4 linked regions of the Alligator mississippiensis genome follow. The protein of the gene in region 2 purifies or fractionates together with the protein of the main gene of each other region. This does not show direct contact. Links are inferred from orthologs where the notes say so. Each region holds a gene or a part of one and is shown on either strand. Other genes may lie near its edges. The genes, in order: TXNDC9, CCT2, PDCL3 and TUBD1.

Region 1 (6,878 bases), on a different chromosome or scaffold from region 2:
CCCCTCCCTGAGGCCCTCAAGCTCTCTCCCAGCACATACAGCCACACTGAATCACAGAAAGGAGGAGTGTGGGCATCTAGTCCCACCCCTACTCAGAGAAGGACCCTCCCCACCTCCCTCATCACAGCACACACTTTGCAACGAGCCCTCAGGGTTTCCTCAGCTCTGTTCTCCAGCATCCGAGGCAGAGGTATCAGGCCAGCGGCTCTCAGCCTGCTTCCACGCAAACCCCCCCGGGAAATGCCCGCCCGAGCCCCGCTCCTGCGGCACAGAACTCCGCCCCCGCCCGCCCGGGGCAGAACGCCGAGACCCCCCCCTTGGAACGCTGAGACACCTCCGTGGAACGCTACGTCACAGCTCCAGGTTCTGCCCCGCGGACCCCCCCGCGCGAGGGTGACGTCACCGCGGATACAGCTGCCCCCCGCGCTACCTGTCCTCGCTCTTGCCCTTCTGCTTCTTGCCCATGGCGGCGGCTGCGGGCGCTGTGGGATCGTCCCTCCGCGTCCGCCTCAGCAGGCTCCGGCCGACCACATCCGCACGCAACCCAGCGCATATGGTACGAAACCTCCACTGCGCAGGCGCCGTAACTCCATGACCCGGCTCGCCGAGTGCGCGAGACCCGGGCGTAGGAGGGACACTCCCCCGGCAGCTCAGTGCAGCCGCCCGCGCCCCTTGCGGCCGGCGGGGGAACAGCAGTAAGGCCGCGCCGCCGGCCTGCCCCGCCTGGGGACCTCGACGGCGCCCCGGACCAGAGACGGGGTGGGCTGGTGTCGCTCATTCTTGACAAAATAGGACACGAGCCCGACTCTGTACGGGCTCCATTTAGTGAGCGGGGGAAAAGCAGGAAAAACACCAAGGCCACCTGGAAAATCTCCTTAGCCCAGGTGCCCAAGAAAGGTCCAGTGGGTCAGCCGGCACCTCCTTAGGCCTCCCAGCACAGCCATAGGGAAAAAGCTCTCTCCCCCTCTCTCTGTCTGCGTAGGGTTACCGTATGTCCAGGTTCAAAAAAGAGGACACTCTTCCCCCACACCAGTAGGTGCATGCCACACAGACACAGAGACACGCACAAACATGCAGACAACGCCCCCCCCCCCCCCCCACTCCCCCAACACACACAGTGGCAGGGTGAAGATAAGCCATTTTTTATGCTAGCAAAGTAGAAAACAGTAATGAGAGTCCTGGATCGCAGGGACAAACTTGCCATTATTTTTAAGCTGGCTGCTTAACACCACCAGAAAAAATAGCTCTGTATTTCAGTACCACAGACACCAGCTGCTTGTGGTCAAAGAGACTGGCCAATTTGGGGGCATACCATCATCCAGTCTCCCTCTGGCTACACAATTTATGGTGATGGGGGATTGCTCACAGGCTCTCCCTCTAGCTTGCTCTGACAGTCTTTTGGCTAGGGACAAGTGAGACTAGGGGGCATCTGAACCCCAAGGCCTCTGGGTTTGGGGCTTGCACATAGGATGCCTGCCATGGATTTGGGCGTACCTGAAGCCCCAGGCTGAAGTCTGGGAGGGAGGATACTTGCCACTGGTAGCATCACGTGGACTTGAATGATTAAGCTCTGCTCAGTAGACAGAATTCAGAACTGATTCGGCTTTGGCTAATTTGGCCTGAGACACAAAATAAAAGAAAAAGGAATTGGGAAAATTCTTGGAGAGAAAGGAACATCGGGAGGTACTGGGCATGACAGTTAAGGACACAGCCTCCGAATCAGAACTTGTTAGACCTTAAATCAGGGGCAGGCAAAGGCTGGCCTATGGGCCAGATCGGCCCTGCAGCAGACTCCATTTCCCAGCAATCCCTGACCCATGAACACCACTTGCCCCCAGAGGCTGGGTGTGGGGGGGTACGGTAACCGCCTGCAGGTGGCAGAGGCCAGGATCTTGTGGCTGTGACAACGTGCTCCAGAGCTGGGGCTGAGCTGCAAACTGCTGCCCGCAAACCCCGGTGCGCCATGCTGGCACCACTGCAAGATCCCAGCCATAGCCCCAGAGCAGCTCCCTGCCCTGCTGTGCACCCTGCCAGCGATATTGTGGAAACCCTAGCCCCACACTATCAGGGCTCCTGGGGTCTCCATGGAAACTGGCCACAGAGATGTAGGCAGGGGCTGCTGGGAAATTGAGTCCAGCAACCAGCCAGATCCATCATTTTGCCCACCCCTTCCTTAAATGCGGAAGGCTGCAAGTGGGAGAGGAACCATGCAAAAAACCCTGGGCACACCCAACTCACTCTCCCTTTCAGCATCTACTCTGCCACTACGTGACACAGGCCTTTGGGTTGAACAGCAATTCTAGCTTTCTTCTAAGAGGCTTAGCCGCCAACTCCATACATGGTGTAGCCCCCATGCTTCAGGATATACACTATGTCCGTGGCAGTCAGTCTTCCTCTTGGTCTGTTCAGTGTATGTGTTGGCATCACACATGACGTTTTCCAGGAAAAACTTCCTGCCCCTGAGGCAGGGGGCTGGACTTGATGATCTTCAAGATCCCTTCCAGCCCTAAGGTCTATGAAATCTATGAAAACCTTCAGCACCCTTCCAGGTTCCCCATAAATAAGCCCTGAGATGTGCTTCATGCCCCCTCAGCAGGCCAGGCAATGGATCCAGGGCTTGGTGATGCCCTGGATGTTGTCATGCAGCACTTTGTGGTGCCACTTAGCACCTCCTTTCCCCAGCCCCTTGCCCCCATTTCCACAACCAGACATCTTCACACATCTTCTCACCAAGCTGGGACTGGACAAGATGGAGCTATGGTCGGACCCAGTAAATGGCAGTTTTTATGTTCCAAGACAGTGGCACTCAACCTTATCCCCTGGCAAGCCCAGACCCTCTGTGGTCTGGACCCAGTCTGTGGTCCAAACCCATCGCCTGGGGTGGGTGCGACACGGCCCCATCTGGCCACGTGCAGTGGGGTGGGGAGCACCTTGGCTCCCATCCAGCCACACAGGGAGAAGGGGCATGGCCCAGCCCCAACCTCATTACGCAGGGAAAAGGGAGTCTGGCCCAGTCCCATCCCATTTTCTTGAAGATAAATTCATCCCTGAAATGTGGAAGATGCCAAATTTTAGCCGATTTTGGATGATAAACTACATTGCTGAGCAACAAGGACATTTTTTGATACCTTCCCCACCCACCATGACACCACCAGGGAAGAAATCCTGTTTGATCTGCACAACAAAGAGCAACCTCACAAAGACACTCTCATGGAGCCAGAGGGACAGGCTTCCAGCTTCTGTTTCCTCTGTGCAAAAATGAAGTTTAATTCCTACATATGGGGATGTTTTACCATCTTGAACTTTCCCTGAGCCTGACAATGGGCGCGTAAGCCTGAAAGCTCGCAGAAAAAAGATATTTTTTTTCGCAATTATTCAGTTGGTCTAATAAAAGGTAGTGCTTTTGAACCAAGAGTTCTAGATTTTTGCATTTCTTTTGGTCTCAGACCAAGACGACTACCTCGTACCTCCCCATGCATTTTGAATACGTCTCCTGTAATTGACTGTACATGGAGCAAGGGCTGAAATTATCGTAGAAACAGCATAATTAACGTACATCTGGCACCACGGAGCCGCTTAACCGCCCGCTCTAGAGCCTGGGTCCGGGCCGGGGCTCCCCGTAGCGGCTGGGCCGCAGTATAAGACAGCACGTCGGGCGGCCGCAGCGCACGCCAGAAACAGCAGGGTCAGGGGGGAGTAAAGGGTCTTGGGAAATGTAGGCGGGAGGCGCAATGCATGTCGGAGCTCAGTGACGTCACGAAGGCCTCAGCTGACAACCGAGGAGTGGGGAGCGCTGCCCGCCTGTCTAGGGGCCTTGCCGTGAGGCGCATGCGCACCTTCACGTAACCACACGCGACAGCCAATGAGAGAGGCCGATACTGGGACCTAGCCCCACCCGCCTCCTTGTGTTGTTACTCGCTTTTGCTACGCTGGTGTGGAGCTGGGAGTGCGGCTGGCGTAGGACTCTCGGGGCGGCGCGCGGACCGGGTAAGCGGCACGGGGGGCAACGGCCGCAAGGGTGTCAGGTGGTCTCCTGCGCCAGCGCCGCCGCCTCCCCCTCTTGGGGCGCCTGTGGAGTCAGGCTGCGTGCGGCCGGGCTGGCGGGGGGTGTAACGGTCTCGCTTCGCATGCGTAGTAGCGCGCTCGCGCTGCCCAGGTCGGGAGAGGCCCGTGTGCCCCTTCCCCAGCCGCCTCCTGCACTGCGCATGCGCCCCATGAGGCTGCGCCCCGCTTGGGTCGGATCCGGCCCGGGGACCAGGTGCCTGGCTGCCTTTGACACCCCTGGTTTGGAGACTTTCGAGGCCCCATTTTCCTCGGAGTCTAGCTCTCGACCCTGAGCTGCCACCGTTAATGTGTAGGCCTGCGCCTGGTGGGCACACTCAGGGCCAGCTGTGTTTCCAAAGCTACAGACCACACTGTTTGGTAGAACTGGCAGGGATGTAAATGTGGGCTCTGGTGTGCACACCTGGTGCTCGGCTTCCTCCCTGCCACGGGTGTTGGTTGTAGCTATGTTGGTCTAAGGGCATAGGTAGGAAAGGTCCTTTGGAGATGGCGAGGTGCAGTGTTTTTATCACAGGCAGGCAAGGTTCCTTGGTTAGGTATGATATCTTTAAAAGATATCACATCTACCGAAAGAGCCTTGCCTGCCTGTGATAAAAACATTGCGCCTTGCTGTCTCTTCGGAGCAGTGAGCTCTTCCTCCTTCCTTTTCCTGGCTCGAGCTGGAAAACTTCGTTTTCTTTGACTCTTCCTGGAAAGTCTCATCTAGCCTTCATGAAACTCAGAGCCTGTTCCACATTGACAGCTCCTCAGAGCACTTTTAGTTCATGCAGGTCTCCTGGCTCAGGATAAATTTTTCTTTGAAACAGGTTATTTCAGTTTCTTCCTGCTGAAAAGGCAAAGGAACTGTTCCTTCTCCACTAGGCTGGATGTCTTGTTTCAACAGCTGAGCCAGGGACTGAGAAAATCAGCTGTGACTGGATTCATCATTGCCCCTGTTTGCAAGGCTCATGTTTACAGAGTTGCATGTCATCCTGAAAGATATCACTTTTTGCATATGAGTTCCTAATCCAATAGTAAAGGCTGTTTTTGCTTTGTTTCTCTAAAGCAGTGATTCTCAACCAGGGAGCCGTGGCATCTTGGGGTGTTTTGAGATATTCTTAGTACAGCTAGGTTTGCAAACATGACTCACAAGACAGACTCAGAGATTTCAAATGGGAATTCACAGTGTTAAAAACATCCTGACCTACTGTGGTCTTTTCAAGTTCTTTGCAGTAAAAGACTTGCTCTGGTAACTTGTCTTTTGAGTAAAGAAAATTAAAACGAAGACTTGGCATTTTCTGAGGGGAAGTCTTGAGTCTGACAAAGGGTGTTTGGAGTCTAAAATGGTTCAGAACTGCTGTCCTGTAGAGTGTAGGGCAGCAAGAAATGGGCCTGATCAAAATTTTAACAAATGGCTTATTATTTGGTATTGTTATTTGTAGAGGTGCACTGATACATCAGTCCGATATCGGATCAAACTGGCTGTATCAGATATCGGCCTGATGGAGCCGAGAATTTGGCCGATAAATGCCCGTGCTGTGTGCTGCCGCAGTGCAGCGCAGGCAGCAAGGGGCACAGCCTGGCAGCATGGAGAGCTGCCTCCAGCTGGTAAGTCCAGTGTGATGGAAAGGGAGGAGGGAGGGAAGGGGCATGGGGGGGGCAAATCAACCCCACCTCTGTGGTGAGGGAAGAGGCAGGGGCAGGCACTGCCTGAGGAGGGGGAGAGAACCTGCTGCTCTTTGTACTCCCGAAGGGCACAGGGGGCACATGTGCCCGCCGGATGGGGATGGGGCAGGCTGCAGCCAGGACTTCGCCGGGCTCTTGTCGATGGATGCTGGGCTTGGAGCGGGTGCCGCCGCATTTGGAAGATGCTGCATCCACCCCAGATTTCACTGCTGCTCTGCTCCCAGCACTGCCACCACCAGCTGCCTGGCGCCAAGCCCAGCTCTTCCCAGCACATGGGTGGAGGCAGGGCATTGATCTGTGGCTGTGCTGGGAGGCTGGCGGTGCTGGGAGTAGAGCGGCAGTGAAATTTGGGGTGGATGCAGCATCCTCCCAGCACCACTGGCACCCATTCCAAATCCAGCCCCCGCTGAGAAAAGCCCTGCGCACCCCTGGCTGCAGCCTGCCCTGACCCGTGCAGATTTGAGGGGCACATGCAAGCAGCAGCAGGAACCACCTCCCTCCCTGTGAGCTGCAGCTCCAGGCCCCGCACCCCCCCCCCTTGCACCCCCCGGCAGTGCCTGCTCCTGGCCCCTCCCTCACTGCAGGGGGGGTGTTGATTTGCCCCCCCCCATGCCCCTTCCTTCCCCATTCCCCTTCCACCACACTGGACTTACCAACTGGAGGAAGCTGTATTGGAAATTGAATCAGTATCAGCCGATATGCCTCCGTAAATATCAGCCCCCAAAATCTCTATCAGTGCACCCCTAATTATTTGGGTGTTATTATGTGTTGTTTAATTCTAATTTCATGACTTGTGTTTTCATAGCTGTAAGAAGTTTATTGTCTATCCTGAAAAATGGATACCAACCCTTCTGTTGAAATGTTTCAAAAAGTTCTGGAGAATCAGATGCTTCAGACTACCAAGATAGTGGAAGAAGAGCTGGATGCTGAGATCCAGAAATTGGACCAAATGGATGAAGATGATTTGGAACATGTTAAACAAAGGAGACTTGAAGCTCTGAAGAAAGCCCAGCAGCAGAAACAAGTAATATTTTCTCCAGCATTGTTAAATTCTGACCTCATGTTTAGCAGTAATCTTTGCTGACCTTGTAGTGATGCCGCTCGTTTTGAAAATCTTGAGGAGCTATAAATTTGCCCTGTTGGCATCTGAC
Region 2 (7,034 bases):
AGGTAAAACTATTCATTGGCAAATAATCTGGATACAGAAAACAGGAGAAACAGAGGTAAGTATAAAAATTGTAAAAAATTGAAAATATAAGACATGAAACAATTTAAAAAATTAAACGTTAGTAATAAAGACAGCTCTCGAGGTTTTATTCTATCACAATTTGGGCACAGGGGTGGAAACTATGCAGACTTACCACAGTTTAGCCTGAATCCACTATTATTGTTTCATCTACCCATGGTACTTCCCTCTCCCCAGTTTCATTAAGAGATAAATTACTGTTTCTCAGCTCCATTTACAGAAACAAAAATTACAATAAATCAGCTGAGCAGCACTCGTGAGCAGTACATCTCCCATCCCAAAGAGAGACCGTTGTTTCATCCATGCAAGCCCACAGGTAGGCAGTACATTAAAGCTTACACCAAATTGCATGTTGTGTTAGCATTTGCTATACCACAGTACTCAGACACCAGAGCTAAAAGCAGCACTAAAAACATGAACTGTCAGTATATTACCCGTAGCAATTCTGCTGCCAAGACAGTTACAGACGTAGTTCCATCACCAACTTCATCATCTTGAACCTTTGAAATATCTTAAGAGAAAAAAAAATCATCACTATTAATTAATTGGTTCTAGTATCCTGCTACTCATTACAGACTTGAACTACGCATGCTTATACAGAATACTTGTTACCTGGAGCAGCACTTATCTGCATTAACTAATATTGCACCACCAACATGCTTTTAGTGAAAGCAAAGAGAAGAATAAACAAAAAGCAATATCCTTTAAAAAAATATTTAAAAGTATTTAAAATACTTCTCTGATGAACATTTAGCTAAAAACTCACCAACCAAGACCTTGGCTGCTGGATTGTCAACTCCAATAGCTTTTAAGATGGTTGCACCATCATTGGTTACCGTTACTGCACCATCTCTTCCAGTACTTAGGAGAATCTTGTCCTACAGGATGCAAGATTTAGGAAGCTACTTGAAAAATGTACTTTGTGTCATCAAGAGCTGCAAGGAATAGTAACAGTTATGGTCTCTAAGAACCTGCAAATAGCTTACCATGCCCTTTGGCCCCAGGGTGCTCTTAACTAGATCTCCAACAGCAATGGCACCAACAAAGGAGGACTGAAATGAAAGTGAACAAGCTATCAGAGAAAGAATCATCATTTCTGTTCTGAGCAATCAACTGAATCTCAGACTCACTGGAGAAGATATCATAGATAACAGTCACAATCTAGTATGTAGGGTGTAGCTCAGGCTCCCCTGCATTTAATTCACCAATCGATTGCTAGGAATTGGGATCACTGAAACCAAAAGAATACTTCACTGTCTTCCCATTCTCAATGTCTGACAAGCAGAGCCCTTGGCAACTGGGGACAACAATTAGTAGAGTTCTTATTCAACCCCCTAAACAGAGAACGCTCTGCAAAAGCGGAATCTTACTAGTCATAGAAAATGTAGTTTTTACAATTTAGCAAGCGTCTAATGAAGAATCACAAACTATATATTTTTTTAAAGTTCCAAATTGAGCTAAATTGTGGCCGTTTTTCCATGGGAACAAAAGGCATGATCCCGAAGTCCAAGCCCCCCTGACAAGCATCAAGTCCTTTCAATAAAACAGTTGCAAGATTTTAATTAATACAAGAAAAGTATTTCTCTCATTTTCTTCTCAGGCATGCCTGGATCATTTTTACTTGGCTTTTTTGGAAGGTTAATGTTAGGCAGTACCTAGCAAGAATAGTTTCAGCCTTAACTGATACATTTTGGTTATGAGCAATACTAGTGTTTTATAGCAGGAACTGCCAGGAAACCTTTTTTGTTATGTAGAAGGTGTAAGGAAAGCATACGAGATGTTATCAGTTTCACAGATGATTTAACTCACCAAACGAGCTGTTTCTGCTTTTTCTTCATCTGCACCTGCCTTGAAAATATTCACTGGAGCAAGGGAAAGGGATGCCTGAAACAAGAACAGTCACAAATCCAGCATTCAGCTTTAATATAATGCGTTTTTTTTTTAAAACGCACCTCGCAAACATGGCTACCACCAAAACCGGGATTCTCAATCTGGGAAAACTTGAGAGCAGGTTGGACACTTGGCTGGGAAGGGATGAGCCTGCCTCCAGTAGGGGGCTGAACTAGGTTGCACCTGGTGAGGTCCCTTCCAGCCCTACTTCCTTATGAGCAACAAGGAAAGCTTCCCCCTTACTGCTGAATCACAGGGCTGCAGCTATCCTTTCTGTCCAGTTGGATATATTTTAATAATTTATTTCATGTTTTTAATAACTGTAATAAACTCATTACTGCTGAATCACAGAAGTGCAGGGGTGTTTTCTGGCCAGGGCTGGATTACATTTTAATAGTTTGATTGTGTTTTTAATAACTGGAATAAGCTGTAATTAGAGACAATAACCTCCACTCAAGGGGGCAGACTGGAGTCGGGAGTCGCCGGGCAGGCGCTCAGCACCCCGCCGCATTGCCCAGAGAACATAAGTAAAACCCGCTCGGACTCGGGGAACACGCTGGACCCACTCCTTCATCTCTGCAGTTCCTCTCTGGAGGCCTGAGGCGGCGGCGGCGCCGGCCCGGCCCGGCCCGACCACTCGCTCCCCACAGGCGCTACTGTCCCGGGGCGCGCGGGCATCCAGCGCCCGCTCCATCGTGGGCACGTGACTGGGGGAGGGAGAACCCCGCCACCCTCGAACCTTCCAGACCGCCCCGCCCCGCTATCGGACCAGGGGGGAGGCGAGGCCGCCGCCGCAGGAGCTCGGCCGGGGCTGAAAAAGACCCACGCGGCGCGGACACAAGGAGCCGAGCCGAGCCGAGCCGGCCCCGGCCCCTGCGCGCGGGCGCGCCCAACACTCACCATGATGGCGGCGGCGGCAGCGCTGCGAGTGAAGCCTTCCAACCGAGCCGACCCCACGAGCCGCCTCGCGAGCCACCAGAAGTTGCGTTGCTCGTAAGCCGCCGGAAGAGGCTGGGCCGCCCGGCCGCTCGCCGCCCTCACTGCCTCTCAGCGCGCACGCGCCTTGGGGAGCGGTGCATGCTGGGAGTCGAGGGCTCCGCCTTCGGTTTGGCTGGTGTGCGCTCGCGGCGGTGTTCCGTTTGCCCCCGCCCTGGGGAGCGGAGACTGCCGCTGAGACGCTGGCACCCGTGTTGCTTCCCCGAGGCCAACTCACGGCGTGACTGGAACGAACCCGGTCTGGACGCGTTCCTCGAGCAGCAACTGACTGAACGTGTGGCCGCGCTACAGCTCCACCTGCGATTAACGTGGCTCCTCGCTGTAACGTCTCCAAGGAGGCTTCCCTCTTCCCGCCAGAGCTGCAGCAGGAGAGGCAGAGAGAAGGGAAGGCTGCTCCACAGTAGTAGGGTTACCATATTTCCAGTTTCAAAAAAGAGGACACCTGAGGGAAAAAAGGGGGTATACGATTGTAAGGGGGAGATGCTATGCCTGTGCCCTGCCCCTCACTTTCAGGCAACAGACCCATGGGTTACTGGAGCTTTTTGAGTCGGGGGGCACATGCCCCCCCTGCCACCAGTCAGTGAGGAGGGGGGCCCTGGTGGCCGATTGCACTGACCGATCTCGCTCACCAAAAAGCAGCCACTTCTGGACGGGCCCAAAACTGCATACAGTACCCTAAGTGCGGCCTCACCAGTCTGGACTAGGGCAGAAGGATCACTCCCAATGGTTTACAAGTGACTTTCCTGTTAATGCAACTGAAGATGCTGTTGGGTTTTTGTTTTTTTCACAGCTGTGAACCATTTACCCAGTCTATCCAGGTCATTCTGGATCCTAGTCCTGTTCTCTGGAGTATCTGCAGTTCTACCCACCTTGGTGTCATCTGCAAATTTGCTAAGCATGCACTTGATCTCATCATCCAAATCATTAATAAGATGTTGAACAATACTGGACCCAGGATAACCCTCTGAGGACTCGCACTTAACACCTCCTCTCAGCTAGAAATTGAGCACTATTTGCCAAGTATCCAACCAGCTATTTATGCACCTTACAGTACTTGTGTCTAGTCTGTATTTCCTTAGTTTGTTAATGAGAATGTCATAAGCCTTGCTAAAGTTCAGGTATATCATATTCACTGCTCTCCCCTATGCACAGAGCGTGTCACCCTGTCACAGAAGGAAATAAGATTGGTCGGGAATGACTTGCTCTTAGTGAACCCATGCTAACTGTTCCTGATTACTCTGTTCTCTTCAGGTACTTCACAATGGATAATTTCTTGAGAACCTTCTCCATGTTCTTTCCAGGTATAGAGGTCAGGCAGAGTGGTCTCTAGTTCCCCGGATCCTTCTTCCCCTTAAAGATGGGCCCTATATTTGTCCTTTTCCAGTCATCATCAGGGACCTTGCTTGACCTCCACAAGTTTTCTAAAAGGATTGCCAATTACTCTGAATTTACCTCAGCCAATTCCTTCTGTACCCTTGGGTGGATCCCATCCGGCCCTATTGACTTGAAAACACCTAGCTTCTCTAAGTATTCCCCAACCTGGTCTGCCATTACTTTCAGCTATTTGTCTCCTTCCATAATCACTGTCAACTGCACTCACCAGCTGGTAGTTGCCCCTATTTGGGCAAAATAAAGGCATTAAATACTTCAACCTCCTCTGCATCATCTGTGACTAGATTGCCTTCCACATTCTGTCAGGGACCTGTGGAATCTCTCAGCTTCCTCTTACTTTTGAGATACCTACAGAATCCCCTTCTTTGCCTTATGTCCCTTGCCAGCTGCATCTCAAATTGTGCCTTGGCCTTCCTAATTTTCTCCATGCATGCCCACAGGGAGTTAAAACTTTCTGTGTATTAGGAAGGTGAAAGAACTGAACACCACAATGAAAAAGATTAATAGATTTGGAAATTATGCCTGGTGCTATTAAGGCCTGCTTATTTTTCAGGCAATAGGTTGCAGAAAATGAGTGACTATAGAATGGCTAACGTAGGTGATAGCGTGCCAGAGACTGGAACAGCTTTTGGTCTCTCCCCTTCCCTCAGCCCCCACCAAAGGCAAAACACAGTAATATTAATAAAAAATTGTAAGTCCCACCTCACATTAGAAGTAATCCACACACACACACACAAAATGTAAAATCAATATTTTATTGCCATGCTACAATTTAAAAAAAAAAAATGAAGTTGGCACTGATGAAGGGGACAACATTGTCAATATTAACATTATACATTTTTTTAAAATGAACATTTGGTAAGCTCTCAATAATGAAAATGCAAACCAAAGATTAAATTAAATTCTAATATGTCAATTTGGAACAGCATAAAAATACATTATTTCTGCATAGTACGGTATCACTTTTTGTGAAAAAAATGGAATGTTTGTATAACAAATCCAGCAGGGCAAAGTTCATGGAAATTTCATAAACAATTTGGCAATGGTACTCCCACTGTTTAGACTTTTTTATAAAAAGAAATAAAAATCTAGAAAGCTACCTTTATACAAAGTTGTTATATTTATGCCTTTAAGTAGGAAAACAACATTTTATAATGCAAATTAGGACACAATAATCTTACAATATCATACAATGTAATGACAATAAAAACACAAAACATAGGATTTTGGCCTGTATAGAAATGTATATTTCTGCATTTAATAAATGCATTTGTGGCACACTGGTGCTACTGTACTACAACTACCAGTCAGCTTTCATACTAGAAGTGTATTCAGTTGTACTGTAATTGCAAATCTGTAGTTTAGTTTAGGACAGACAATGGTTCAGAAAAAACAGCCATAGGTTACATTACAATGGAATGGAGATGTTACATGCAAGAAACAGCAACATGCTGGCTGGCTGGGGGACACAGTTGCAGGATACCATAATACTATTTTCATTTTCAAACCAGAAGTATTTCCTATACATTCAGTCATTAAGTACCCAAGTCTTAAAAATGAAAACATCAGTGTTTAAGATTTAGCAAATTTCAGGGAAAATACGAAGTTAGTACCAAATATATAAAATGTGAGCATATGTCTACATACACATATATTCCAAGGCAAAAACTGCATTAATGTGGAATTAAGGTTGCTGATGTCCATTCCTAAATAAAAACATTAAAATATGGGTGCAATCCTGAACCATTTCTTTAGAATCACTTCCTCTTTCATACATAATAGTTCCAGCAATATACACACAAGTATAACTAAGAAAGCAGAATTCACATAGTAATCTAAACTCTGAACACAACTAATAGGAATTTTTGTTTTTCAGTACATGTAGTTAAATATATTTATATTTTTTACATTTTTTTTAGACCATTTCTGAAGAACTTGACCAACCAGGTCCTCTAGCGTAGCACAACCATTTTGCCAGCAAAATCTCATCTTGCACCTGATCCAAATGGTCACAGGTACTTTCCCCTTGGCTTCAATGATATTGGACTGGGGCCAAGCCAAGCATATTCAGCTCTTGGAAGATTGCCCCAGTACAAAAGCTGTCTATTAACAGACAGATTCCAACCACATAACCCCATCTCTCCTGCCAACAAAGTATGCAACTGGAATGAAAGAGGACATATCCCTTCTGCGGCTATGGGCCCTCTGGGTTGTTTGCAGATGGTGTGGGAAACATGTCTGCGAAACAGCCATGTACACAGTGACCTCCAGATCAGAAAGTGGAGGGGTGAGCTTCATGGCACCTTGGTATGCCGGCTTCTTAACTAGAACAGAGGATCTGGCTCTACTTCTTCAGCATTTTTTCTATCATGGTAGGACTCGGACATGAGACAGGATTGGGGCCTCATCATGTTAGGTGCTTTACAAACAAATAGGAAGACGATCCTTGCCTGGAAGGGCTCAGAACCTAATTATTAATTATATTTTTACATTATCTTCTTTGTATTTACACATTTGCTACATAAAATAGAATTACACCAAGGTAATGGATATATCAGAACACTTTGTCACAATATATGTATATTACCATACTAAATAATTATTAAAACTGCAATAAAAATTTCAAAATGCCCTTTGTAAATATATAAAAATATAAACGTGTGACATCTATTTAATGA
Region 3 (7,859 bases), on a different chromosome or scaffold from region 2:
CAAACACAAGTTGGTGAAACTATTCATGTACCTGAAGCTAGGCATGGAAAACTGTCTGCAAGTCCTCATCAGGAAATCCAGTCAAAAGCAGGCTAACCTATAACCAGTTGGTACATTTATCATTAAAAATTGTTGTGATACAATTATTATAAATTTTAATACAAATTAAAAGCCCAGAGGCACCTAAATACTCCTAAGGATCTGGGCCTAGATCCATTCAAGAAACTCTCAGCAACCTATTTAAAAAAAAAAAAAATCAATTTAAAACATTTTTTTAAATCAGTGCAATAATGTAGTAAGAACCTTTATTATGATTTCACCCAAGTCAGTATGCAGTCAACTTGAAAAAAATCCCAGATAAACTGCTTCTACACCAAAATAAGAATATCTACATTGAATTTTGCACTGTTTTATAAGTATATAGCTTAAACTAAGCTGGTGTGACTGAACATAAGGAATCTAAAATTCCACAGGTTCTTGTCCGATGCAGTAGAAATAGATGATGCCTAGGAAGGAGATGATCAAAAAACTTAACACTTAGATAGAGGGCTAAATGATTCAACAGCTCCTTTTGATACCCCAATGGAAATACAAACTAACTTGGAAAAAAAAAATACTGTTTTCAAACAAAAAGGTGCCATTGGATAATATTGAATATTGTTTTATAGCTTTTTCTCAGATACGCGTAAGACATTGGAAAGCTGAAGAGAAGTCCAACTCACAAAATATCTGCTTTAATAAAACTCTACTAATCAAAGGAGCCATAGCTGCATAGCCAACAAGTCTGCAGAAGGCCAGGGCTAGCTTCATCTCTCCAGCTCATGTCACCAACAAAACTGCAAAGCTCCTGTTATTGCAAGGTCAAATTCTGTGAGTGCACAACTAAAGGCAGAAACTGGCCAGCAAAAGTTGCATGGATGATACACAAAACAGAAACTTTCCAAGAAGACTTGCAAAGCTTTGGGCATATTTCTAAGGCTGCTGACTGGGAAAACTGAACCACGTTCTTTAGTTTCTTCTAAACTTGGCAAAATTCATTAGAGATCTTAGAGACACTCCACTCTTCTCCTCAGCCAGTTATGTTGCAAGCCTGCTATCATGGAAGGGCTGGTAGGCTCTTTACAGACCACACTGAAGACAGTGCAGGTGCTCAGGGAACATTTGTAGGGACTGTACAGATCTGAGCGTCAGCAGAGCCATCTTTGCCAGAGGTGCAGAAGTCTGCAAGTTTGGTTTCCTTCTCTCTCCTCCTAGGGTAGCAGCTTTCAATCCTTTCAGACTCCAACCCCCTCCCCTCAGCAAATGCCAGCTCTTGCCTTTCACCTGTCTTTTGAAATTAGGAGAACAGCAGAGCTGGTCTTTAGCTGCAAAGAACTCAGAAAGACCCTAGCAGGACTGAATGGCCACGATGCTATGGGTATCTATAGCAAAGCCCTGGACTTTTCGCGACTCATGCTGACCAGGGCTGACAAGACTTTTCAAAGGATCTCAACGCACCTTGGCGGAGAACCAAGAGCAGCGAGCGTTAAGTACAGCAGTTCTGGAATAAAAACCAGGGACAAGACAACAAAGCCAGGCTGGCGGTCAAGGTGGGGCTGAGATTGGGCCCTGGTGACAAGAATCAGAGGGCCTTGTTACATGGTAATGATAGGCTCCTCCTAGAGCTCTTAAACCCTGGGTTGTCCGCACATTAACACCTTGAAGTGGTTTTAAACCCTTGTTATGTGGTCCAGAGTTATACCACTCCAGGGCAGGATTCTCTTTCCTCTGCACTACCCAGCTCCTGTTCCATTTAGGTGTGCCTGCTCTCCACAGATGTGCTGCCCAAAATCAAGTCCTCCAGGATCTCTCAAACCCCTGCCTGTAAAGTGTGGACAGGAACCTGTCCTGGTTCACCAGCCCTCCAGTGGCAGCTCACAGCTACAGCTCCCCGTCATAGCTGTGCAGGCAGGAGCCACTCAGGAGGTGGTTTCTAGATCGAGGGTGCGACTGCTCCAAAAACCCAAGCTACTATAACACTGATCAACATTAGTGCGGCTCCCAGCGTAAGTGAAATGAGGCCCTCCGATGGACCCCAGCAGGGCTGAATGGCTGTGACACTACAGGTACCAATAGGGATACCCCAGGCTTATCCTGCCACTCACGCCAACGGGGCCTGACGAGACCCTGGAAAGGACCTGGGGGGGCAACCCTGGTGGAGAACCATGGGCAGCGAAAGCTATGTGTTGGCAGGCCTGGAAAAAAACAACAACAGAGAAAGGGCAACAAAGCAGCATTACCAGGTCTTAAATATGAAAGTATTGTGTTGGAAGCTCAAAATGATCGTATTCGCTGAAAAACTATCGTGCCCTGAAAAAGTCGGCAACGAAGACTTCTTATTTACTTTATATTGCTCGTTATAACTCGCTAGTGAGTGAGGAAGAAGTGAGTCAAAGTTGAAGCATTACTTTATTTCAAGGCAAGCGGGCACAAGACAGTGCCCCAGAGTCAGTTAAAACTCCCAGGAATGACCCGGGTTCTGCATCAATGAGCTGCCTCCAACATTATCCTATATTTTGAACACTTCTTCTCTTACAGATCGCGCATCTGGCAAGGGTTGAAATGATCGCACAAATCCGAGTGGTCGGACACCCGGCACCACTGCAACAAACCCGGGCTGGCTGCGGCGGTGGGGCTGAGACTGGGCCCTGGTGACAAGGATCAGAGACCGTGGGTGGGTGGATTTCCTCTCCCTCCCCCATTGGCTTGGCTCCCCCTTGCCCCTGCGCGCGGCAGGGAGGCGGCCGGGCGCGGGGAGCCGGGGCCCCGGGGGGCCGTGCAGCGCGCAGGGCCCGCGCTCACCTGCATAGTGTCCGCAGCGGGCTCCGGCCGCCGGCGATCGCCGCCCGGGACACGCACGCGGAGAGGGCGGCAGCAGCAGCGGCGGCGGCCTACTCCCCGGGCCGGATAGCGTGTCACAGCGCCGCACCCGCTTCCTCCTTCGCCTTATAAGGGCTGGGGCCGCTGCTCTGCCTGGCCGCACGCTACGAAAGACCGAGGGAGGCGGTGGCGCAGGCGCAGGCGAGCAGCGAGGGCTGCCCGGCGGCGGGGTTACCGCACAGTTGCGCTGCGCTACCCGCGCCTTGCGCTGGGCTCCGGAGGGAATTGTTTCACACCTCCACCCTGGGGACTGTCACACACACACGCCCCTCCCCTCGAGGAAACTATATGTCTCCTATCACAAACACACCCTCAGGATGTGTGTGTGATACTCACACCCCCCTCCCCTCAAGGAAACTGTCTTTTTGTCACATACACACACCCTTGAGGAAGAGAGAGAGAGAGAGAGTGTGTGTGTGTGTGTGTGTGTGTGTCTCACCCCCCCCCCCAAGTAAACTTTCTCAAACCCACACACACCACCCTCCCTCAAGGGAATTGGCAATGCCAACCCGACCAGCACTATGAATGAAGAAGACCCAGGGCTCATAATACACCATAGTATGAACATAAGCTGGCAGTGCGATGCTGTAGCCAGCAGGGAAAACAATACTCCGGCATGCATCAACTGATGCATCTCTAGCAAAACCAAGGAGGTGATTCTTCTGCTCTACTCAGCACTGGTGAGACTGCAGCTGGAGTACTGCATCCAGTTCTGGGCATTGCACTTTAACAAGGACATGGACAAGTTTGACAGAGTCCAGAGAAGAGCCACCTGTATGATCAGAGACTTGCACAGCAAGCCATACGAGGAAAGGCTGAGGGATCTGGGACTCTTCAGCCTGAAAAAGAGATGAGAGGGGATTTGCTAACAGTCTACCACTACATCAGGGGCTCAGTGAACAACTGTTACCAGGGCACCCTTAGGGGCAACCAAGAGTAATGGCCAAATTTCCAGAAGGCTATTTCAGGCTCAACATTAGAAAAAACTTCGCTCAGGGTGGCCAGACTGTGGAATAAGCTCCCTTCAGAGGTGGTGCAATCACCTACCCTGGAAATCTTCAAGAAGAGACTGGAAGGTCACCTTGCTGGGGTCGCCTGACCCCCAGTTATCTTTCCTGCCTGGGGCAGGGGGCTGAACCCGATGCTCTTCCAAGGTCCCTTTCAATCTATGAATCTCCTGCCCCCTCTCAAGGGAACTACCACATGTACACTCCCTCAAGGGTGCACTGCTCAAAATGAGGGCAGGGAAGCGGGTAGGAAATAGCTACACTACATTAGTTAATATCCACCAAGACTGTGTACCTCTTCTCTAGGCACCTGCTACCTCCCTGTGGATTTTTTTAAAGAGCTATAGGTAATAAAGGTGAAGAATCACTTAATGTCTCAGAAGTCAGGGTCTAAATACCATCATCTAGAGGAGGTTCCCGAAACTGTGGGATACATAGTCCTGGCAGTATGCAAGACATCTCTGGTGGGGGAGGGGGGTACGCAGGAGAAATTGTGTAATGACAGATTTAATTTTCATTATAATAATTTGCATCTAAGGAGTTAAAATATAAAATATATGCTGGAATGGGAACATGGGCAGCTGGTAAATCTGGAAGGGGGTACATAATAAGAAAAAGTTTAGGAACCTCTGGTCTAGAGTGATTCTTAAGTTCAACTACTACTTTATGCACTTGTAGATGTAGACTTTTAGATAGATATAGATATACACACCTTCTTAAATTCTATGCTACATGGTTAACCCATTAGCAACAGTAGGACTTCTTTCATGCATAAACTTCAGTAGGGCATAAAACTTGGCAGGCTTGGGGCCAGTGTGTATTTACTACACAAAAAAGATGGTGCAACATAATCCAACCTCAACAAATAAAAAACAAAACCCACAGAAATTCAACATGTTATGAAACACTGAGACTCTTAGCCTTTTTATCTTAAAGGGGAAAAAAACAAATCTTATGGAAAGGCTAAGAATATATGGTTAACTAAAATTTTCCAGTCTAAAATGACAAGAATATTCCAAATTAATCAAGGGCTGCAATTGCATAGATTTTAGTTATTCTTTTTTCTCCCCTGCTGTTGTTTCTTCTCATAACAGCTATATAAAGAAATGAAAGAAAGTCCCAGCACTTTATTTACATAAGTGGGATTCGGCTATTTTCTTGGGTTGCCAGACAAAGACTTAGATGAGTGAGACTAAGTTAGTTTCAGGCTAAGGTACCATTTCTGCAAGCACTTTTGGAAATGTTGCCATCCTAGAACTATTCATAGGTACAGATATTCTCCACACACCTGGTTGAGTGAGTATGGGGCATCTGATTATATTAACTTAATTAGGAGTAAAATTAAGTAAAAGTTTACAAGACTGAAGGCTTAGATTGTAAGACCTCAGGGGAAGGGACTGTTTTTGTTATGTTTGATGTACTTAACAAAATGAGGTGCTACTACTGACTAGAGCCCAAGACTATCACAATAAAATAAACAAATAAACAGGCATGTTAGCAATCCTGCATCTGTTCACTGCTAACAGATCTTTGATGTGTTGAAACTCATTAAGACTAGCACCTGGCAACATTTACTTTGAAAAAAACATTTTGGAATAATAGTTCCAAACTAAAACTTTGCATTTCAATAAATGACATTATTTCTCTTTTATCAAATTATATGAAAACACATACTACACTAAGTTCTGGGCATGTTGAAGCTTTTTTGCCTTCTCCCAGAACTGTTAGGAAGCATCCTAGCACTACTCTTCCTTCTTATTAAAAGCCTATGCTTTTTATATACATCCAGGATATTGTACAATACCTATCAATTTGGTACTTAAGATCCATGGACAATTAAGTAGTAACAGCAGATTTGTTTCTCACCAACCCACTAAGAGGTCTGTTAGAATAGAAATTTGATTTTGGATATTGTATAGATGTTTGGGGCACAGTGCTTTTGAGATAAGGATTTCTCAAAAAGCTGGCACTTTAATTTTAGGTCCAAATATCCCACCTAGTGACAACCACATGTGAACTGTGCAGCTGCCACATTCCTCCAATCCTCAGTTATATAGACCAAAAGGTTGTTTTAATATGAACAATATAAACTTGGCCATCACTCCCCTGACTGTCTTTTCTGGCCTTGGGTCCAGGGGTCCTTAGTAATAGGAGCTATGAAGTGCAATTTACTGACAAAACAAAATAGATAATCTTACTGAAGCCAATCTCGTGCAACAGGCTGCTTGGAAGCCTGGCAGACAGACAGCATACAAAGTTTCTGGGGCAGACGAGAGAAAATTGTAAGGGCTAGGCCACATAATCCTCTTATGTCTACCTGGAGTTTAGTGGGTTGTCAGAGAGAGATGGAGACAAAAGTCTTTGTCAAGGGGTAATCACAAAGTAAATAGATTATGAAGTGAGAGAAGATAAATAATGGAAGCAATAACCCCCCCCCCCACCAAAATGTAGCTCTTTACCTTGGTTTCATTTCCCCACTCATTTGTTCCGTTAAAGAGCTGCATATTGAGTCTAGCAAGTAACACCTTACCCCCACCAGCAGGTCACCTCCAGATAAGCTAAACGCTTGAAGCAGATGCATGGGAAAAATCCAACCACATACTGCAAGAAGATTAACAGTCAGTCACTGATAGTAGTTGTAGTTCACACCAGGTAGAAAACACACATGCTTACTCAGGCTAGGCAAAGTTGACTTATGCCATGGCAACATGCTGAAACCATGCCAGTTTGGAAAACCAGTGTAAGTCTTTACTATTCATTCCATCCAGGAAGAGCACACACCAACTGCAGATGCTTCCTCAGCCTGATGAAGGGTATTTATACCCAAAAAAACTTGCTAAGAAGAATGTTCCAACTATTTGCTTTGGTCTAATAAAAGATATCAGATTTACCCAAAGAACCTTGTCTGCCTAGGTTGTCCTTAGACCAACACAGCTATAACCTACATCACAGTCTACATGCACACATTTAGACTAATTCTGATGCAATATCAAAGTGGATGCTTATACAGGGGCTTGCCACAGATCACATCGTAACACATACATAAAAATAGTACAACTTCATATTTTGTAACTGTAAGAGGCCTGGTCTAAGTGACGAGACAACATACCTCAGTAATGTTGGCAATGCTATTTTGATTTTATCCCCCATTTAAAGATAGGGCACATCAAGGATGCTCCTCACACGACAAGGAACAAGGGTGACAAGGAACAATGGTAATAAGCTGATGGAGAATAGGTTTAGGTTAGAGATCAGAAGACAATATTTTACAGTTAGGGTGGCCAAAATCTGGAACCAACTTCCCAGGGAAGTGGTCCTTGCCCCTACCTTGGGCAAATTCAAGAGGAGGTTGGATGATCGCCTGTCTGGGGTCTTGTGAACCCAGCTTTCATTCCTGCCTGTGGCAGGGGGATCAGGCTAGATGATCTGTTCAGGTCCCTCCTGACCCTAGCTACTATGAAACTATGAAGTCATTCTTTTTATACTCAAGTCCCCACTTTTGTTTCACTACCACTATTGTACTCTGCAAGGCAACAGGCTGCTCAATACAGATTTACTCCCAATGTATAACACTGAAATAATTCAGTTGATAAGAGAGAACAAACCCAGGCCCCCTTTCAGTTTTCAAGTTAGTTCAGCATCACAACATCCCTCGCTGGAACAAACTTTCCAACTTTACTGGGCAACTTTGTAGGCCAGCAGCACTATCAAAGCTTTTCTGATTTGGTCAAGAAACATAACCTATGAATGGCAAATGGAGAGAACCTCCATCCTCTGAAAATCCACTTCAAGAAATAAAATAAATATCCTGGCCAAGTCCCTCGGTAAACAGGATTACCCAAGATAACCTGCTCACAGGAAACAGGTATTCTTATACCATTTGCTCCACTGAAGGTACTCCTATTTGCATGCTTTATTCTATTAAATACCTCT
Region 4 (7,028 bases), on a different chromosome or scaffold from region 2:
CTTTACAAGCTTCCTGATAGGATTCATTCTCCTTCTTGGAGCACAGCCCATGTGTACTGTGGAAATCGCTGCAGATAGCATTGAACACCTCATGGCCAATCTGATTACCACACTGACCAAGCTGCACTGTGACTACTGACATTCTTCACTTTGGATTTAATCCTAAAAAAAAGAGAGGTATGCTTTTATTTGCTATGGCTAAAACAAGTCATGAGTAGGCAGCTGTTGAGCAGTTCGGTAACCTGGGTAGAGAACAGACTGATTTTTCAGATATAATTCACCCTATGTTTAGAGGTTTTCCCAAACTACTTAAATTGTGTAACTGTGTTGATCCAGTAGCTGAAATTCCTTGGAGAAGGCTGCAGTCAACAATCACGTTCCATCCCCACAGGGATAGTGATGTGTTTCAGTGAGGATTGGGCAGGAAACTTTGTTCCCACCAACTGCTAGTCAAGCCAACAAAATCAGCCTCCCTGAGTTTTATGTGGTACTGAAGGCAGTCTCATTTCAAAGAGCCTCTCCATCTTCCCAGGCTGTGCTGACAGAGTGGCTAAGGTGTCTCACTATGGCTCGAGAGAGATGAGTTTGATCCTTACTCTGGGCTTGTGCCAAAGACTGCTCCCAGTTGACCCAGCTATAAATGGATACTTAGTCATCAGGGTGAGGATTTGAAAGGTGGCCAGATGTTTACTGATGGCTACAGCACTTGGCGTGCCTTAACTATGCTAGTAGCAATTAGGCTCAGGTGGACCTTGGACTGCTTTTTTTTTTTTTTTTTTTAAACTTAACTGGAACTTAATGGCTAAGTTCACCCCTGGTGAACTACACTGACTAATGCTACAGCGCCACCCTGACTTGTTACATGTGCAAATCTCTGCTGACCCATGAAGAACAGACTGATAGTTTGGAAATTATTTGCCTGCAATGCTGTTTTCAGACTGGTTTTCCAGAGTTTCCTACTGTTGTGGCCACTGGTTCAGCTATGTTGTTGCTAACAATTGTAAAAGCACTAACGTAGATACAAGCATTGTAAACTAGTGGGTTACCTAATCTAGTAAATGAAATGAGATGTAAAATGCTGCCAACTAGGCTGTATTATAATGTTCCCCCTGATGGGACTGTATTGATGGTAGCAACAGTAGGAAATTCTAGAAATAAAAGTTTAATTGTGGATGCTAAGTCCTGACATTCCCCACTGTGGGAAGCAAGATCTTTTTCTCCATTTTGTTTTCAATAGCAGGGCTGAAACATGCCTGATGTGACCTGCCTGGTGATCACTTCACCAGTAATCCTGTCTCTACAGCTGTTAACGGGCTCCTGCTTCTGAAAGATCTAAAACATCCCAGGATCCAGCCTCAAATAACTGAGAATTTATGTGCAATACAGGCACAACAATGACAAAGAGCTAAACTGACAGAAGGCAAAAGAATAAGCATCATTATGCACACATTCAGCATTCATCACTGTTAAATCAACTGCCCGTGGACGATTCATTGTCTCCCCATTTCTAAATATTAAGTTAATACTTACTCAAGGTATCAATACAGGTATATAACAGTGTATACTTTTATCAAGGGTGCAGAGGAATGATTATATTCTCTTGCTGAGCATGTAAGGGGTGAGGTAGAGCAGGGCATGATCAGTTTGGTCTCTTTAATCTCTACCTCCTCTTAAATCTGCTAAGATATGGCTTAAAACAAAGTCAGATTTTGCCCATTTAGCTTTGGAACAGAATTACTCTCTGCAATGGGAAAGAGGACTGAAGGGAATGCTGCACAGCGTTGACAGCCTCCAGTTAAGGAGCACTGAAAACAAATTGCTTATAGGGAAACTTTGGCAGTCAGCACTTTGTCGTGAACAGCAGCTGCTCAGGAGCATGGATGACAATTCCTAGGAAGCCAGCTGGATTAGCATTTATATTGCTACATATCATTTGATAAGGTTGCAGTCGACTCTAATAATTAACGTGGAGAATAAAGAAAAATTCTTTCTGCTCTCTGGCTTTTGCTTTAGTGAATTACAAAAAGCACGACCGAAAAGTACAAGCAGTAACCCAGCGGGCTCTAGACCCGGCCTGTATCGCGGTTCCAAGAACGGGGAGGCCGCCGCCTCTGGGTAACCTGTCCCGGCGCTGCACCCCCTGCCTAGGGGGAGAGTTTTCCCTAATATCCAACCTAAACCTCCCTTGCTGCAACGTGAGCCCGTTGCTCCTTGTTCTGGCATCTGCCCCCCCCCCAGCACAGCCCAGCTCCCTCCTCTGTGCGGCGCCCGGCAGGGATTTCAGTCCCCCTCGGTCTTCTCTTCTGCAGACTCAGTCAGCCCATTTCCCTCGGCCTCTCTTCGTACGTCACGTGCTCCAGTCCCCCAACCGTTTTCACTGGACCCTCTCCAACTTGTCCACATCCTTCCTGTAGCGGGGGGTTGGGGGGGGGTCACAAAACCGGACGCAGGACTCTGGCCGTGGCCTCCTCAGCGCCGAATACAGGGGCATACACGACGTCCCTCGATCTGCTCACGACGAGCCCCCTTCGCCGTCTGGACAACGTGCGCTCGGCTCGTAATCAGCATACTGTCCGCGGTCACCCCCAGGTCCTTTCCCACGGAGCCGCCAGGCCCCAGGCTTGCACTGCTCGACTCCCTTGGGCACCCGCCATCACCCCCAGGCACAGGGCTGCTGGCACCCCTCATCACCTCAGAGCCCCTCCCCCGCACCTGCCCCATTCCTCTGCCCCCCAGGACCCCATAATCTCTCAGAGCAGGGCCCCCCTCCAAACCCCTCGGCCCCCCATGACCCCTCCCCCCATCCCCTCAGCACCTACCCTCGAAGCACAACTGCTACAGGAGCCCCCCCCAGGGCGCATGCGCGGACTCCCCTCACACACTCCAGCCCACCGCCGGAGGCCCTGAAGTCCCTTTGAACACCCCGCTCTGCGCATGCTCCGAGAGAGCGCACGTTGGGCCGGAGGGGGTAGGGGATTGAGGGCAGGTCGGCCCCGTGTGGCGGCTTCACGGAACGCTCTGCGCCTGCTCTGTGCCAGCACCCGGTGGAATGCGCGCATGCTCAGGGGCTCCCCCGGCGCCAGGGCGCGCTCGGCGCATGCGCCTTGCGGGGTCCGGGCGGCGTGGGGCGCCTGCGCGGGCCGCGTGCTCGGGGTGGGGGCGCAGCCGCGCTGAGGCCTGGAGCCGGCGATGGCGGCGGCGGCGCTGAGGGGCGTGGGCCCATGAGGCGGAGCAGGCCCCGCGCACTCAGCACAGCCAGGGAGGGGCGGCGGCGGCGGCGGCGGCCCGGCCATGGCGGGCGTGTTCGACATCGACCTGGACCAGCCCGAGGACGCGGGCTCGGACGAGGAGCTGGAGGAGGGGGTGAGGCGCGGGGCCGGGCCGGACGGGAGCGGCCATGGCGGGGGGTGGGCCGACACCTTGCTGCACCTCAGCCCTCGCATCCTCCTGGCATTATCACCCTCCCCCCTCTGCCCTTACCTCGGGATGTTTTTTGGGGGGGGGAGGAGGGTGTTTTGTTTTGGGTTTTTTAAAGTTTTGAGCCCAAATGATGCGGAGCGGTGTCCCATGCAGCGGTAGCAGCCTAGGGGATCCGTTTTGGGGACACCTCAGAGCCGGGGGAGGCTTAAACTTGTGGAAGTGCTGTGGGCAGATGCGATATCTTTGATTAGACTTTATTATCGTTATCGTTATACTAATATTATTATTATCGTTACCTTTCACTGCTGTCTTTTATTACACCGAGTAGCAGTAGTCGGCGTGCCGTTCATTGGACCCAGTCGTTGACAGTTGAGTCGTCGGGGGTGGGGAGAGGGGGAGTTGTTTGCAAGCTTTTGGGTGCAGTCGCCCTTCTTCAGGAGTCTCCGCTCTTCTCAGATCTCTAAGGGATGCGAGAGGCTAAAAGTGCGACAGGATGTCCGTGAGGGTGAAAATAGGTAGAAATTAGGAAAACTAAATGTAAAGAAGCGGGGTGGGGGGCGACGAGAGGGTTAGGGAACTGTGCCCTCCTCGTCGGTTTTTCTAGGTGCTATTCGGATGTCTTCAAACATCCCCCGTGTTTGTAACACGTGGGGTGGGAGGCTACCTACAAACTTGCAGACGTAACTACGCATGACAGTGCCCCCAGACTGGTTTGGAGCTAGGGATGTAACTTCAGTCTGTTTTACTCTTTGCGCCCTCGCTCCGTGTGGTTTTGTGACAAATGGCGTCATATGTGCTAAATATATGCATACATTTTAATTTTTTTTTTATTTTTTTTTAAAGCTTTTCTTGCTAGTTACAAGGTGCCAAACTTGGTTGCTGCCTTGATAACGTAGCAGGACCTACTGTCCTTACTGGCTGTCTGGCTGTTTAGCAATAATGATCTTTTTGCCGCTGTGTGCCGTCAAGTTGAATAAAGCACCTATTTTACTCTGGCTCGAAGATTTGATTGATTGATTTTTTTTATTTAGTTAGTTAGTTAATAGACTGTTGTAACAGTCTGATGTAGGAAATAAACATTTCCTTGCGCATGTCGAAAGTTTACACATGGGAAGTCAGTCTTCCCTGAGCTTCCAGTCTCCTCCAAATCTAGGGAATAGTAGGTACAGAAGAGTAACCAAGGGTACAGTCTCTTCAATATACTAGTGAAAGTGCCTTTTTTTTCTGAGCTCCTAGTATTTAGCCTGCGGGAAGCTGAGCTCAATCTTCTGTCTTCAGTGTGATGTAAAACCTTTTTCTTACTAGTATTCATTTGGATTATTTGGAGGCCATCACTGCCTCTGGTTGCTGTAACGCAGTGGTGCTCAATCTTTTGGGGCCACGAGCCAGATGAGTGGCAAGGGGCCCATCCATGAGCCAGATCAGGCTCCACACTGCCTCTGCTTAGCCCCAGATTGAAGCCCCACACCGCCTCCATCAGGCCCCAGTGTGCCCAGATCAGGCCCTAGGCCACCTCTGTGCACTGATCCAGTGTGCTGTGCAGTGCATGAAGCTCTCCAGGGGTCTGGAAATTGGCAGAAGGGGAGTGACAGTTGGTGCCACTGCACTCCCACTGGCAAAGTTTTGGACCCCTGGGAACCCCTGTGGGCCAGATGGCATGGCTCTGCAGGCTAGGGGTTGAACACCCTTGCTCTAAAGAGATTTTAAGAAAAGACACAATTTTGCTTGTCCACTGAAGGCAACATAACTTGCAGTCTGTGGGAAGAAACCCTGGGCTTGTACATCAGTAGTCAATAAAATGCCTGGCAAAAATGTCCCTTGCATCACACCCCGAGGGTTACCAAAACAGATTTTGATGAGCCATGAGAGGGAACAAATTCCTGCCCTAGAATCTGCAAGAATTAACTTCAGTGGATTAAACAGTAGTTGGTAGACTGCTGTGATTGTAGTCTATCGCTTGTGCAGGAGGAATATTTGCAGCGCACAGTTGGCAGTAGTGGTGAGGGCCCAAACAGCTCTCAGACAGGATGGACAAACTAAGAGTTCTGTGGGACTCCCAAGTTCATGACACATACCCGCACTCACTGTTTGGGTAATGCTGAAAATAATCAGCAAGGAAAGAAGAGCAGAACAGGAGCTGAGTGACAATGGTTTTGTATTTTTCCTCGAATTCTGAAGTGGAGAATGCACTGGGGAGTAAAGGGAGCAAGCACTAGAAGAGCGTGAATGTAGCATCTTACTGAAAGTTGCCTCCAGTTAGCATAATGTGTGGTTTGGGGGAACAGAAAGATGCATAGAACTGAAAACTTAAAATCGCCAACCTGGAAATGAGCTGGGTAGAAAGCTAGTGTGAACTAGACAGTCCTGTACATAGAGCATTTTTACTCCTGAAAGCTGTACTGGCAGCAGCAGCAAGAACAGCTGCAGTTACAGGTGTTGCATACGGACATGACAATCCTCAGAAGTGAAACGTGAGACCTTTTGACTGGAGAGTTTGCATGTAAGAAATAGTTTCCAAAGAGTAGCCACCCAGGGGGGACACAATTGGTTCTCAAACTCTTGTCTGTATGAGATGACAAGAGAAGGGAAGATGCATGATGTATTTACAGACTAGCTTCCAGGATGAACAGTGTGATTTTTTTAAAAATCTATTTTAAAAAGTGAATTTGATGCAAGTAAAAATAAGACTTGGAAAATGAATGCATCTGTTCATAGAATGAGAGCAGTTACAGTCGACAGGAGTGCAAGCTTTGCAAGAATGAGTGAGTTATTAGCTCTGTTTTAAGGAGAGAACCTTTAAGGAGGAGTAGGGAGTTCATTCTCAATGAACAGCCAATCCTTTCCCCTTTTTCTGGGTTTGTAATTATAGAGCTAATTGCAGTGCTTTTTCTTATAAAGTGGACATCTATGAACTGGGCTTTTCCCACTAATTGTCAAATAGCTGCAAATACACTTGACTTAAAGCATGACTCCACAATTAGTGATTTTTGTGAGTTCAGGAGTTGTATTCCCTCTCAGTGCATTCCCTGCAAAATCGACTTTTCTCTGTTTACCAGGGTGTTTACCTGATTTGGAAACTACTTAGAGCTTCTACTTTTCCTTGGCTTAGGTGATCACTTATGGAATAATTTAAAAAGTACTGTTTAGTTTAGTCTGCAGTTCTCAGGCTTCTGTGTGGCTTCCCCCCCTTGCTCCCATGAAATTTCACAAGTCATTCATTTGATCTGTTCCCACTTTCCCAAGTCATTTGGTTCTACCAAAAGCTGATTTCTTTAAAGGGGATATTTTAACTAGATATTGGACAACTATATATACAAAAATGTACTGGAAAGCTTGCCCAGAGAATTGTTTGCAATAACTGTGGCGCTCTGGCTAATCTGTGTTTTCACTGTTTAGGCTGCCTTCATAGACGGGGAAAATATTTTCCTTCCTCTCATAATGAAGCAAATTGAAACTAAAAAAAAAAAAAAAAGAGGGAAGGAAAAGAAACAAATCAACTTTTCAAAACTCAACTATATATTTTAGGGCAAATAGTTCCTTTTTATATCAAAATGACTGAACCTTCATAATTAACGTTGGCATCTATTAGTGCATCTTGTGCAATTATG

What was found.
Region 1: the proteins of CCT2 (region 2) and TXNDC9 purify together in Homo sapiens (co-immunoprecipitation; 3 studies listed by BioGRID and IntAct, counting the BioPlex papers as one, with this or other methods). This does not show direct contact. The link is inferred for Alligator mississippiensis from reciprocal best matches to the Homo sapiens genes CCT2 and TXNDC9.
Region 3: the proteins of CCT2 (region 2) and PDCL3 purify together in Homo sapiens (co-immunoprecipitation; 3 studies listed by BioGRID and IntAct, with this or other methods). This does not show direct contact. The link is inferred for Alligator mississippiensis from reciprocal best matches to the Homo sapiens genes CCT2 and PDCL3.
Region 4: the proteins of CCT2 (region 2) and TUBD1 purify together in Homo sapiens (co-immunoprecipitation; 3 studies listed by BioGRID and IntAct, with this or other methods). This does not show direct contact. The link is inferred for Alligator mississippiensis from reciprocal best matches to the Homo sapiens genes CCT2 and TUBD1.

What each region holds. Positions count from the first base shown.
Region 1 is NC_081824.1:343,198,479-343,205,356, reverse strand, and holds the start of TXNDC9 (thioredoxin domain-containing protein 9), read left to right. Parts: upstream 1-3,874; 5' UTR 3,875-3,987; intron 3,988-6,532; 5' UTR 6,533-6,562; coding exon 6,563-6,751; intron 6,752-6,878. Other genes in the region: EIF5B (eukaryotic translation initiation factor 5B), read right to left, coding at 431-465. UniProt on the Homo sapiens protein: Significantly diminishes the chaperonin TCP1 complex ATPase activity, thus negatively impacts protein folding, including that of actin or tubulin.
Region 2 is NC_081827.1:69,974,003-69,981,036, reverse strand, and holds the start of CCT2 (T-complex protein 1 subunit beta), read right to left. Parts: upstream 3,013-7,034; 5' UTR 2,872-3,012; coding exon 2,869-2,871; intron 1,963-2,868; coding exon 1,888-1,962; intron 1,131-1,887; coding exon 1,065-1,130; intron 957-1,064; coding exon 845-956; intron 590-844; coding exon 513-589; intron 1-512. UniProt on the Homo sapiens protein: Component of the chaperonin-containing T-complex (TRiC), a molecular chaperone complex that assists the folding of actin, tubulin and other proteins upon ATP hydrolysis.
Region 3 is NC_081824.1:344,239,391-344,247,249, reverse strand, and holds the start of PDCL3 (phosducin-like protein 3), read right to left. Parts: upstream 3,008-7,859; 5' UTR 2,848-3,007; coding exon 2,842-2,847; intron 1-2,841. UniProt on the Homo sapiens protein: Acts as a chaperone for the angiogenic VEGF receptor KDR/VEGFR2, increasing its abundance by inhibiting its ubiquitination and degradation.
Region 4 is NC_081837.1:3,663,946-3,670,973, forward strand, and holds the start of TUBD1 (tubulin delta chain), read right to left. Parts: upstream 3,007-7,028; 5' UTR 2,820-3,006; intron 163-2,819; 5' UTR 143-162; coding exon 1-142. Other genes in the region: RPS6KB1 (ribosomal protein S6 kinase beta-1), read left to right, coding at 3,292-3,363. UniProt on the Homo sapiens protein: Acts as a positive regulator of hedgehog signaling and regulates ciliary function.